2 linked regions of the Canis lupus familiaris genome follow. The protein of the gene in region 2 purifies or fractionates together with the protein of the main gene of each other region. This does not show direct contact. Links are inferred from orthologs where the notes say so. Each region holds a gene or a part of one and is shown on either strand. Other genes may lie near its edges.

Evidence for each region. Proteins that work in one complex are often made in the same cells at the same time.
Region 1: the proteins of MAGOHB (region 2) and PYM1 purify together in Homo sapiens (co-immunoprecipitation; 3 studies listed by BioGRID and IntAct, with this or other methods). This does not show direct contact. The link is inferred for Canis lupus familiaris from reciprocal best matches to the Homo sapiens genes MAGOHB and PYM1.

Annotation. Positions count from the first base shown.
Region 1 is NC_049231.1:615,966-620,400, forward strand, and holds the start of PYM1 (partner of Y14 and mago), read right to left. Parts: upstream 2,846-4,435; 5' UTR 2,463-2,845; coding exon 2,429-2,462; intron 1-2,428. UniProt on the Homo sapiens protein: Key regulator of the exon junction complex (EJC), a multiprotein complex that associates immediately upstream of the exon-exon junction on mRNAs and serves as a positional landmark for the intron exon structure of genes and directs post-transcriptional processes in the cytoplasm such as mRNA export, nonsense-mediated mRNA decay (NMD) or translation.
Region 2 is NC_049248.1:11,017,046-11,021,310, forward strand, and holds the start of MAGOHB (protein mago nashi homolog 2), read right to left. Parts: upstream 2,864-4,265; 5' UTR 2,770-2,863; coding exon 2,676-2,769; intron 1-2,675. UniProt on the Homo sapiens protein: Required for pre-mRNA splicing as component of the spliceosome. Plays a redundant role with MAGOH in the exon junction complex and in the nonsense-mediated decay (NMD) pathway.

The DNA of each region.
Region 1 (4,435 bases), on a different chromosome or scaffold from region 2:
CTACTTTATTTATTTTTTTAAATTTTATCCATTTATTTGAGAGAGAGAGAGATAGCAAGCAGAGGGAGAAGCAGAGGGAGAAAGACAAGCAGACTACGTGCTGAGTTCAGAGCTCAACGTGGGGCTGGATCTCATGACCCTGAGATCACGACCTGAACTAAAACCAAAACTCAGTCACTTAACTGACTGAGCCACCCAGGCGCCCCTGATGTGTAGCTACGTTAAAAATACAAAGGAGAGGCGCCTGGGTGGTTCAGTTGGTTAAGCCGCCAACTTTTGATCTCAGCTCAGGTCTTGATCTCAGGGTCCTGAGTGCAAGCTTTCAGCTGGGCTCAGGAAAACAAAAACAGGGATCCCTGGGTGGCGCAGCGGTTTAGCGCCTGCCTTTGGCCCAGGGCACGATCCTGGGGACCCAGGATTGAATCCCACGTCGGACTCCCGGTGCATGGAGCCTGCTTCTCCCTCTGCCTGTGTCTCTGCCTCTCTCTCTCTCTCTGTGTGACTATCATAAATAAATAAAAATTAAAAAAAAAATAAAGCTTTAAAAAAAAGGAAAACAAAAACAAAACAACAACAAAAAAAACCACAAAGGAAAGTCAACCATCTTGTGCTGAGGAACTATAAGACCAGAATATTTCAAAGATGCTGGAGATACTGAGAATAAGAGCAAGAAACAGGGGATCCCTGGGTGGCTCAGCGGTTTGGCGCCTGCCTTTGGCCCAGGGCGCGATCCTGGAGTCCTGGGATCGAGTCCCGCGTCGGGCTCCCAACATGGAGCCTGCTTCTCCCTCCTCCTGTGTCTCTGCCTCTCTCTCTCTCTCTCTCTATGTCTATCATAAATAAATAAATAAATAAATAAATAAATAAATAAATAAATAAATAAATCTTTAAAAAAAAAAGAGCAAGAAACACAGTGGAGAAAAAAGTGATGCAACAGGTCTGGGTCCTTATGGGCAATAAATGATGGCCCTGAGATTTTAGAGAAAATGCTATAATTGCATGGCAATACCTTCCACAAAGATTAGAATGACAGTGGTAGGTCAATGATCTGGAAGTAGTAAGACAAAGTAAAAAAAAAAAAAGCAGTGCTATTCCTTCTCTTCTACATAGTCAGAGAACAGAAGATAACTCTTAGTGGGCGAGTAGAGTGAAATGTGGTATCTGGATTTTTGTGAAATAGGTTTTAAGAAAATAGTTGAATAAAGAAAAGCACACTGAACAGTAAGTAATATTTTCAAAGCTCACATTAAAAGGAGCCAGTAGAAGAAGGATCTTCTGTAGAGAACAGAAGAGGTTCTGTGCACCACTTTGAAATGTGAGGCTGGAGACAAGTAGCAGAGACCCGGCTTGTCATAAGATACCACAGGAGAGGTGGGCTGAGACCTAAGGAACATGGAAAGTAGCAAAGCAAGAAGCATAAAGGGCACAATTCAGAGCACAGCAGCACACACAGTGTCACGTCTACAAGAGACTGCATGTACACAGCCAAGGCCACAAAAACCAGTAACACCTAGCCTTGTACAGCTTTTTATAAATTGCTTTCACATATGCTATCTTACTTGATCGTCACTAGGTAGATATTCCTAGGCACATTTTTCTAAAGATGAGGAAATCAGGATGGGACAAAACCAAAATGAAAATACTGACTTCCAGTTTTCAACACATCAACCTCCATACACCTCAGCATCTCCACCAGCCAGGCCGGAAACTCTTCTCTAGCCAGAATCGTGGCTTCTATGAACTTGTCACAGGGCTTGAGAGGCCACTTAGACACCTCCTGTTTGCCTTCTTCCACCTCAGCTCCCTCGACTTTTATCACCACCACCACCAGAGAAGGTACAGAAGGGTGATGCCATCAAGAAGAAAACTCAAGCTGAAAGTTATACTCGATTCCTCTTCCCTTCACACCTCTGAACCTCAGTGACCCAAAAATGAAGGCGAGGGAGAGAATGGAAAAAGCACTCTATGGCAACGAAGAGGTCTTTAACAGATAGAGCTTCGAGGAAGAGAACCAAGACGGGGCTGGGGTAGGGCACAGGGCAGGTACAGCTGCCAGGTGGGGGAGGGGAGCCGGAGTAAAGCTGGAATTGGAGGGAACTGAGAGTATAGGAGTTCCCACACCTGGAGCAGCCAAGAGAGATATGGGATCTCCAGCTGCTGGAGGAAAGCTATGGGCCTAGGAGGGTCCTGGAGCAGGGACCTCACTGAAGGACCCCAGGGTCTGGGTGACCGGAAGCAGGGACCCCCAAACGCGAGACCAGAAGGGGGCGCAGGTGACACCCCACAGGAGAGGATGAATGGGGAAGGCGGTCCGGAGGGCGGGGCAAAAGGAGGGGCCCCGAGATGGGCGGGGCACAGACCCCTTTCCAAGTCCGAACCCCTGCCCCGAGAGCCCGGGGAGAAGCGGCTCCGCGCCTCCCGCACTCACCGCCGGTCTCGTCAGTTACATAGGGAGTCGCCATCTTGAAAACGCAAACCACTTCCGGCGTGAGCGGGCTGGGGTCCCGCCCCCCTCCCCACCGGAAGTGGAGTCCAGATCGCAGCCAGCCACCATTTTAGTCTTAAAGGGAGAGTGCACCATTTCGTGGACGGAGGCGGCGGAGAAGCTGAAGACTAAAGGCAGCTAGAAGCTAAAGACTTGAATAAAATAAAAGCCGGAGGCTCTAGTAGGGCCAGTGATACCAATATCGGGCGCCTGGTCCGTGTGAGAGAAGTTCCGGGGCTCGGCCCCTCCGTCCGTCCGGGGCCTTCGGGGAAGAGGGGCAAGGCCCACCGGCACCCGGAGCGCGGGCCGGTAGAGGGGTCAGGCCGGACCCTGCCCCCGGGCCCCGGGGCCTCGGGCGCGCACCGGCTGCCCGGCCTTGTCGGGGGCCGCCCGCTCGGCCCCGCACGGCCCGGGCTGCCGCCGAGATCCCCGGCCGGCCCGGCGGCCTCCTCGGGCCGGCCCCGGGGTCGGAGGGCAGGGCGGAGGCCTCTGGGCGGAGCCACTTAGAGTCTCATTAACCTGGCGCAGGTCTGGGCGCCGGGCCTCGAGCTGGAGCCGGCCGCGTGCAGGGCCCCTCCCTCCGCCCGCCGGCCGGTGCCTCCCGCTCCCCGGAGGGACCCAGAGGTCGCCCCGCAGCCCGGGAGCGGCCGGCGGCAGGCTCCTCTCCTGGGGCTTGGCTCCGCGCTCCCGCTGCGCTGCCCTTCCCTGCGGATCTTTGACCCCCAGGCCCCCGCTTCGGGCTACGGACTACGCTACGTTAACGTCCCCTGCACCGCGAGGGCCCGGCCTCAGGGCCTACCTCCGACACTAGGCCGCACGCGCTTGAGAGAGGCGAGAGCACTGCCTAACTTCCTAAAACTTTGATAGGAAGCTTTGAACTTTTCTCAGGTCGTCGCTTGTCGTCCATCCCCTCCTCCACCTTCCTGTCTCGCACCAGAGGCCCCGCTCAGAAGGTCCCAAATAGACCCATTTAGGGGCGCCCGGGTGGCTCTGCGGTTGGGCGTCTGCCTCGGCTCAGGGCGCGACCCCGGGGTCCCAGGATCGAGTCCCGCGCCGGGCTTCCTGCAGGGAGCCTGCTTCTCCCTCTGCCTGGGTCTCTGTGTCTCTCGTGAATACATAAATAAAAATTTTTAAAAGATTCACTTAAGCACTGATTGGCACTCAATACACAGTTATTCCCAATGTTCTAACACTGCCATTCTTTTAAATATTTTTTTTAATTTTTTTTATTTATTTATGATAGTCACAGAGAGAGAGAGAGAGAGAGAGGCAGAGACATAGGCAGAAGGAGAAGCAGGCTCCATGCACCGGGAGCCCGACGTGGGATTCGATCCCGGGTCTCCAGGATCGCGCCCTGGGCCAAAGGCAGGCGCCAAACCGCTGTGCCACCCAGGGATCCCTAACACTGCCATTCTTAATCCCTGCTGTCTTTTTTTTTTTTTTAACTGTATTTATTTTATTTATGAGAGACATAAAGAGGCAGAGACACAGGATGCCCAGATAACGACCCAAGCCCAAGGCTGACGTCCAACCACTGAGCTACCCAGGTGCCCCAACCCCTGCTCTCTTGCAACAATTGGGCTTCAGCCTCACTGGGTCAGCATCTTGTCCTTAGTCTTGTTATTAATGATTATTAGAGGTGAGAATGCGTAATGAAGCCTTTAACTAGAGGGATGCATGGATCAATGGACCTTTCTGCAAGAGAGAATCCTAAAGTCACCAACCCTAGGCCCCTCCTTGTGCCCCCAAACATCTTGCCTCAGCTCGGGGGTTGACAGGAAGTGAAACTCAATTGTGCTATTATGTGCCCAGCAGACCTGCCTGGGTCCCAACCCTGGGCCCCGGATGTGACCCCCCTACCCCCACCATACACACACCCTGAGAAGGAAGAGGAGAAAGAAGAGGCTGGGGAGAACAAGGCTGTTGTTTTTTCCTTTCCCTTTGTTCACT
Region 2 (4,265 bases):
TGAAAGCAATTTTGAAGGTAAAGATGATTTATACTATTTTCATTAATATTTCTGCCCTTTCAGCATAAGATCAATGCTAGACCTGTAAACACTCAAATATTTGTTGGTAAAAAGTTGGCTAAAGGTGAAGCCAGTCATTTTCAAAACTTTCACGCCTTCAATAGATTTTTAAAGTATTTAACATAATTTTTAAATATTTCATGCCTTCAATATAATTCAATATAATAGAGGGGTCATTTTTAAGGCTCATTTGCCTAAGCTGTCATGAACTAAACAGGGACTCTGAAAAAGGAATTAACATTTTTTTTAAAGCCTATGTAATAGGTCTCTATTGGCCCTAAGTCATTTACCCAGAGCATTAGATCTAATCGGTAAAACAACCCTTAAAAGGTTTTATTCTCTCAACTATTCATAGTTGAGAAAACAGAGTTAAATAACTTGCCCAGGGTCACAAAGATTCAGTTCTAGGTCTACCTTCTTCCAATACTCCTGCTTTCCCCACTACTCCAAAGTGTTCTTTTAATTATCTCCTTCAAATTAATCTATGCATGGCAATGCTACTATTTAACACTGTGGCTAAGATACAAAACTATGTACTGCTTCTAGATAAAAGTCGGCCAGTTTGTTAGCTGACCTACACTTAACTTTAATCCATGACTTTTGTACTCCCTGATGCATGCTTCTCCTCATAGCTATAGTCAGTTGTTCATATACATATGTAATGTGGTCCTGATCTCTAAAATGATAGGTTACCCTAGTGCAGTGACCCTTGATCACTGAAGGAAGTATATGGAATGGTGTGGTGGCAGACAACTGGATGAAAACCACTGTTCTGGCATGAACTCTCCCTGATAAATGAGACTACTTAATTTATGTGACTAAACATGATCTAGGCAAGCTGAAAGCTGTTTACAGGCAAAAGCACTAAAAGGAGTATCACCTAAGAAAAGATTAGATGGAGAATTCAGGTAAATTTGGCTCCTTAGCTAAATTTAGAAGAGACATGGCAAGAACATAGGAGAATAGTGATTAAGGTTTCTGAACTGCAGGGCTGTAGTTACTTTGAGTTTCTTTTTATGTCTGATACTATTCCCCCTTCTCTAATATGTGATGATGCTTCTGTGCTTTATCTTTCACTCTCACAGAACTCTGTCCAAAGCATAACACATCATTTAATATCCACACTGTTTTATGGCTAGTTTTACATCTTTGTTACCCAAAGCAAAACTCCTTCAGAGAAGTTGAAGAGACTTGCTCATTATTGTACCCTCAATTTTTGTATTTTACATGTTGCCCAGCATATAACGGGCATTCAAAGACAGAAAAATCTATGCAGGTGGACTGTCCTGGTTCTAAGGAGAGTTCAATATACAATAACTCTCTAAAGAGAATCAGGGCTCTCAAAACATAAAATATGCTGCACCTACAAGGCAGCAGTTTCCACCTTATCCTTTGTTCATGCTGCTTCCCACGGTCTGAATGTTTGTTGTTGTTTTTCCCTCACAGGCCAAGAAAATAGCTATTCTCGAGATGCCTGGGTAGCTCAGCGGTTGTGCGTCGGCCTTCAGCTCAGGTCGTGATCCCGGAGTCCCGGGATCAAGTCCCACGTCGGGCTCCCTGCATGGAGCCTGCTTCTCCCTCTGCCTGTGTCTCTGCCTCTCTGTGTCTCTCATGAATAAATAAATAAAATCTTAAAAAAAAAAAAAAAAAGTCTATTCTCATTTCAAGACTCATCTTGAAAGAGGTTTTGGGCTACCTCCACCATGATCTCAAACGCACCTTTGCCCCTCATTTTTTTTTGGCATGTATTTTTGGCATTTTGGCATGTAGAGAGAGTGTTTGAGACTCTAGTCCATGGTCTCCTTGGTGCCGGCCTCTCTGAACTAAATTCCTTTCTTGTTTCACCAACAGTAGATTCTCTGCCTTTGGATGTTATCAGCGGCTGCGCCCCCAATCTGGTCTGTTTGGGAACCCCAGAATAGCCCTGCATACCAGCTACAATTTCAAACGTTACCTTCTCTAGGAAGCTTTCCTCGACGCCTACATGTAGCCCTAACCATTCCCCTCTTTTGTATTCTTAACGCATCCTATGGGAACAACTATATTTAATCACCCAAACCACATCATTATACCCATTCTTCCATACGTGGAGCTTCCTTCTTCAGAGTGGGTCTCATTCCTATTCCTAGACACGTGGCCTTACAGACAGCGCCTGAACGAATACAATGGTTGAATGGGGAGTCCGAGAATCACCGGTCCCCGAAAGATTTTAAGCATCCATTGGGCCAGTGCGTGGTGGGATGTTCTTTAAAATGTTCAAGGATGACGTCAAGTAAACTAGATGGCATTAGGGTCTCTTCCGGTGCGCTGAACGTGGGATTCTCATTATCCTATGTTCAAGTTTTCAGTACCTGGCAGGATTCGATTTTCTGAATTCATCTACACCCGTGAATTTTCTTTTATGCAGAGAACCAACTTCTGCTTCTGAAGAGTCTTCAGTTCGTATTTACTCCGGCTCTAGCCGTGACCTCGGCCCCCACGACAGACTCGCAAGCCCCCCGACGCTGGCTCACCGCACCCCGCCTCCTCCGAGTCCTCTCCGCCCCGCTTCCCCCAGCCGCGCATCGCGCTAGGCTGCGGCGGCGGCGGCGGCGGCGCCCCGCTCCGCTGCTCACCGTCTGGCCGAAACTCGAACTCCAGAAACTCGTGTCCAAACTTGCCCTTGTGCCCTACGTAGTAGCGCAGGTAGAAATCGCTGGCCATAGCCATGTTTGCGCCCCCTGAAGCCCGCCCAAGGCCTGGCCAACGTGCCGCCGGGCGCCTGGCAGCCACGTCATCGCGCGGGATAAATGCGTCACTGCGGGCGCGCCTTTCCGCTCCCGGGTCCCTGGAGGACCGTGGGGGGAGGCGGACTCTAGCTGCTCAGAGGCGCCCGGGCGATAGGAACTTTGCGTAATTAAGGTTGGAAGACCATTTCCCCCCCCCCCCCCAAATTAAGTAGCTCATATTGTATTGGCAAAACTAATAATGATTACTTATGGGTTTAGAATGAAGGTTTGCAAGTCGCTTTTCCTCCTCGAATCCCTAATCCTCGCGGCATCCCGTCCTCACGAGGTGGGTGTGGCCTCATTCCCCTTTAACTGGTGCAAAAAGAAACAGCCCGGAATCAGAATGGTAGACCCGGACTACCGGCCCTTTCCTGAAGTTAGCTTCTTCACCGGGGCTTTCCCCTTTGTACAATGATGGAACCTAGAATAGAGGCGAAGTAGAAAGAATCCATCAGACAAGAGGTCTGAAATTTGAAAAGCGCTTTGAAACTAAAAATCTCTGACATTTACCGTATTAAGAGAGTTCCTCTTAATAGTAAAACTTCCATCATTCAGTAAGGGTTGATCTTTGGTAGCCTGTGGAGTTTGGGGAATGTGACTTAAGATCAAATGGTTTAGCCCACATTTTTTTTTTTAATTTTATTTCTCCAGGGGGAGGGGCAGAGGTAGAAACAGACTCCCCGCTGAGCAGGGAGCCCAACTTGGGGCTGCATCCCGGACTTGAGGATCGTGACCTGAACAGTAGGCAGATGCCCAACTGGCTGAGTCACCCAGGCGCCCCAGCCCACGATTCTTACCAGAAAGAATTAAATTGGGGAGGTTAAAGTAGTGTCCCAGTATAGAATGGGTTTTGGAGGAAGTGGAAAGAAACTTTATACACAGTCTGCTTTTCGAATATTATTGATCACCCTTGTTTTTACCATCAGCGTAATTCTGTTGGGTGACCTTTAACCTTCAGCAGGATATAGAGGAAAGAGTGGCAGTCAGAAGACCTGGGATTCATTCCCATCACTTACCTCTACTAACCGTGGTTTGCTTAGTCACTGTTGACGCCTGTTTGTTCACCAACCGAGTGAATATCCTACAATCAACTTTGCCAAGCTCAGGAATTACTGAGAAGATCAAATGAGATAATAAATGTATAATAAGTTTTAAAATTTGTAAAACACATAATGACTTTAACATTTAGCATTTCTTATGTGCCAGAAATGGACAGACACTGGTAATAATAATAGACCCCTTTATACTGTTAGTCCAGAGAAGAAAGCAATCATGTAGACATGTATTAACACGAGGAGGCAAACCTTAAAAGAAAGAATATTTTTAGCTCTTTGAAGAAGATACAGGTGCAATAATAGCAGAACTTTGTACACCCAGCTTCAGCTCCTGACTCACTGCTGTTCCCTGTCCCAGAGGAACAAGTTCATCAGGGAGCCA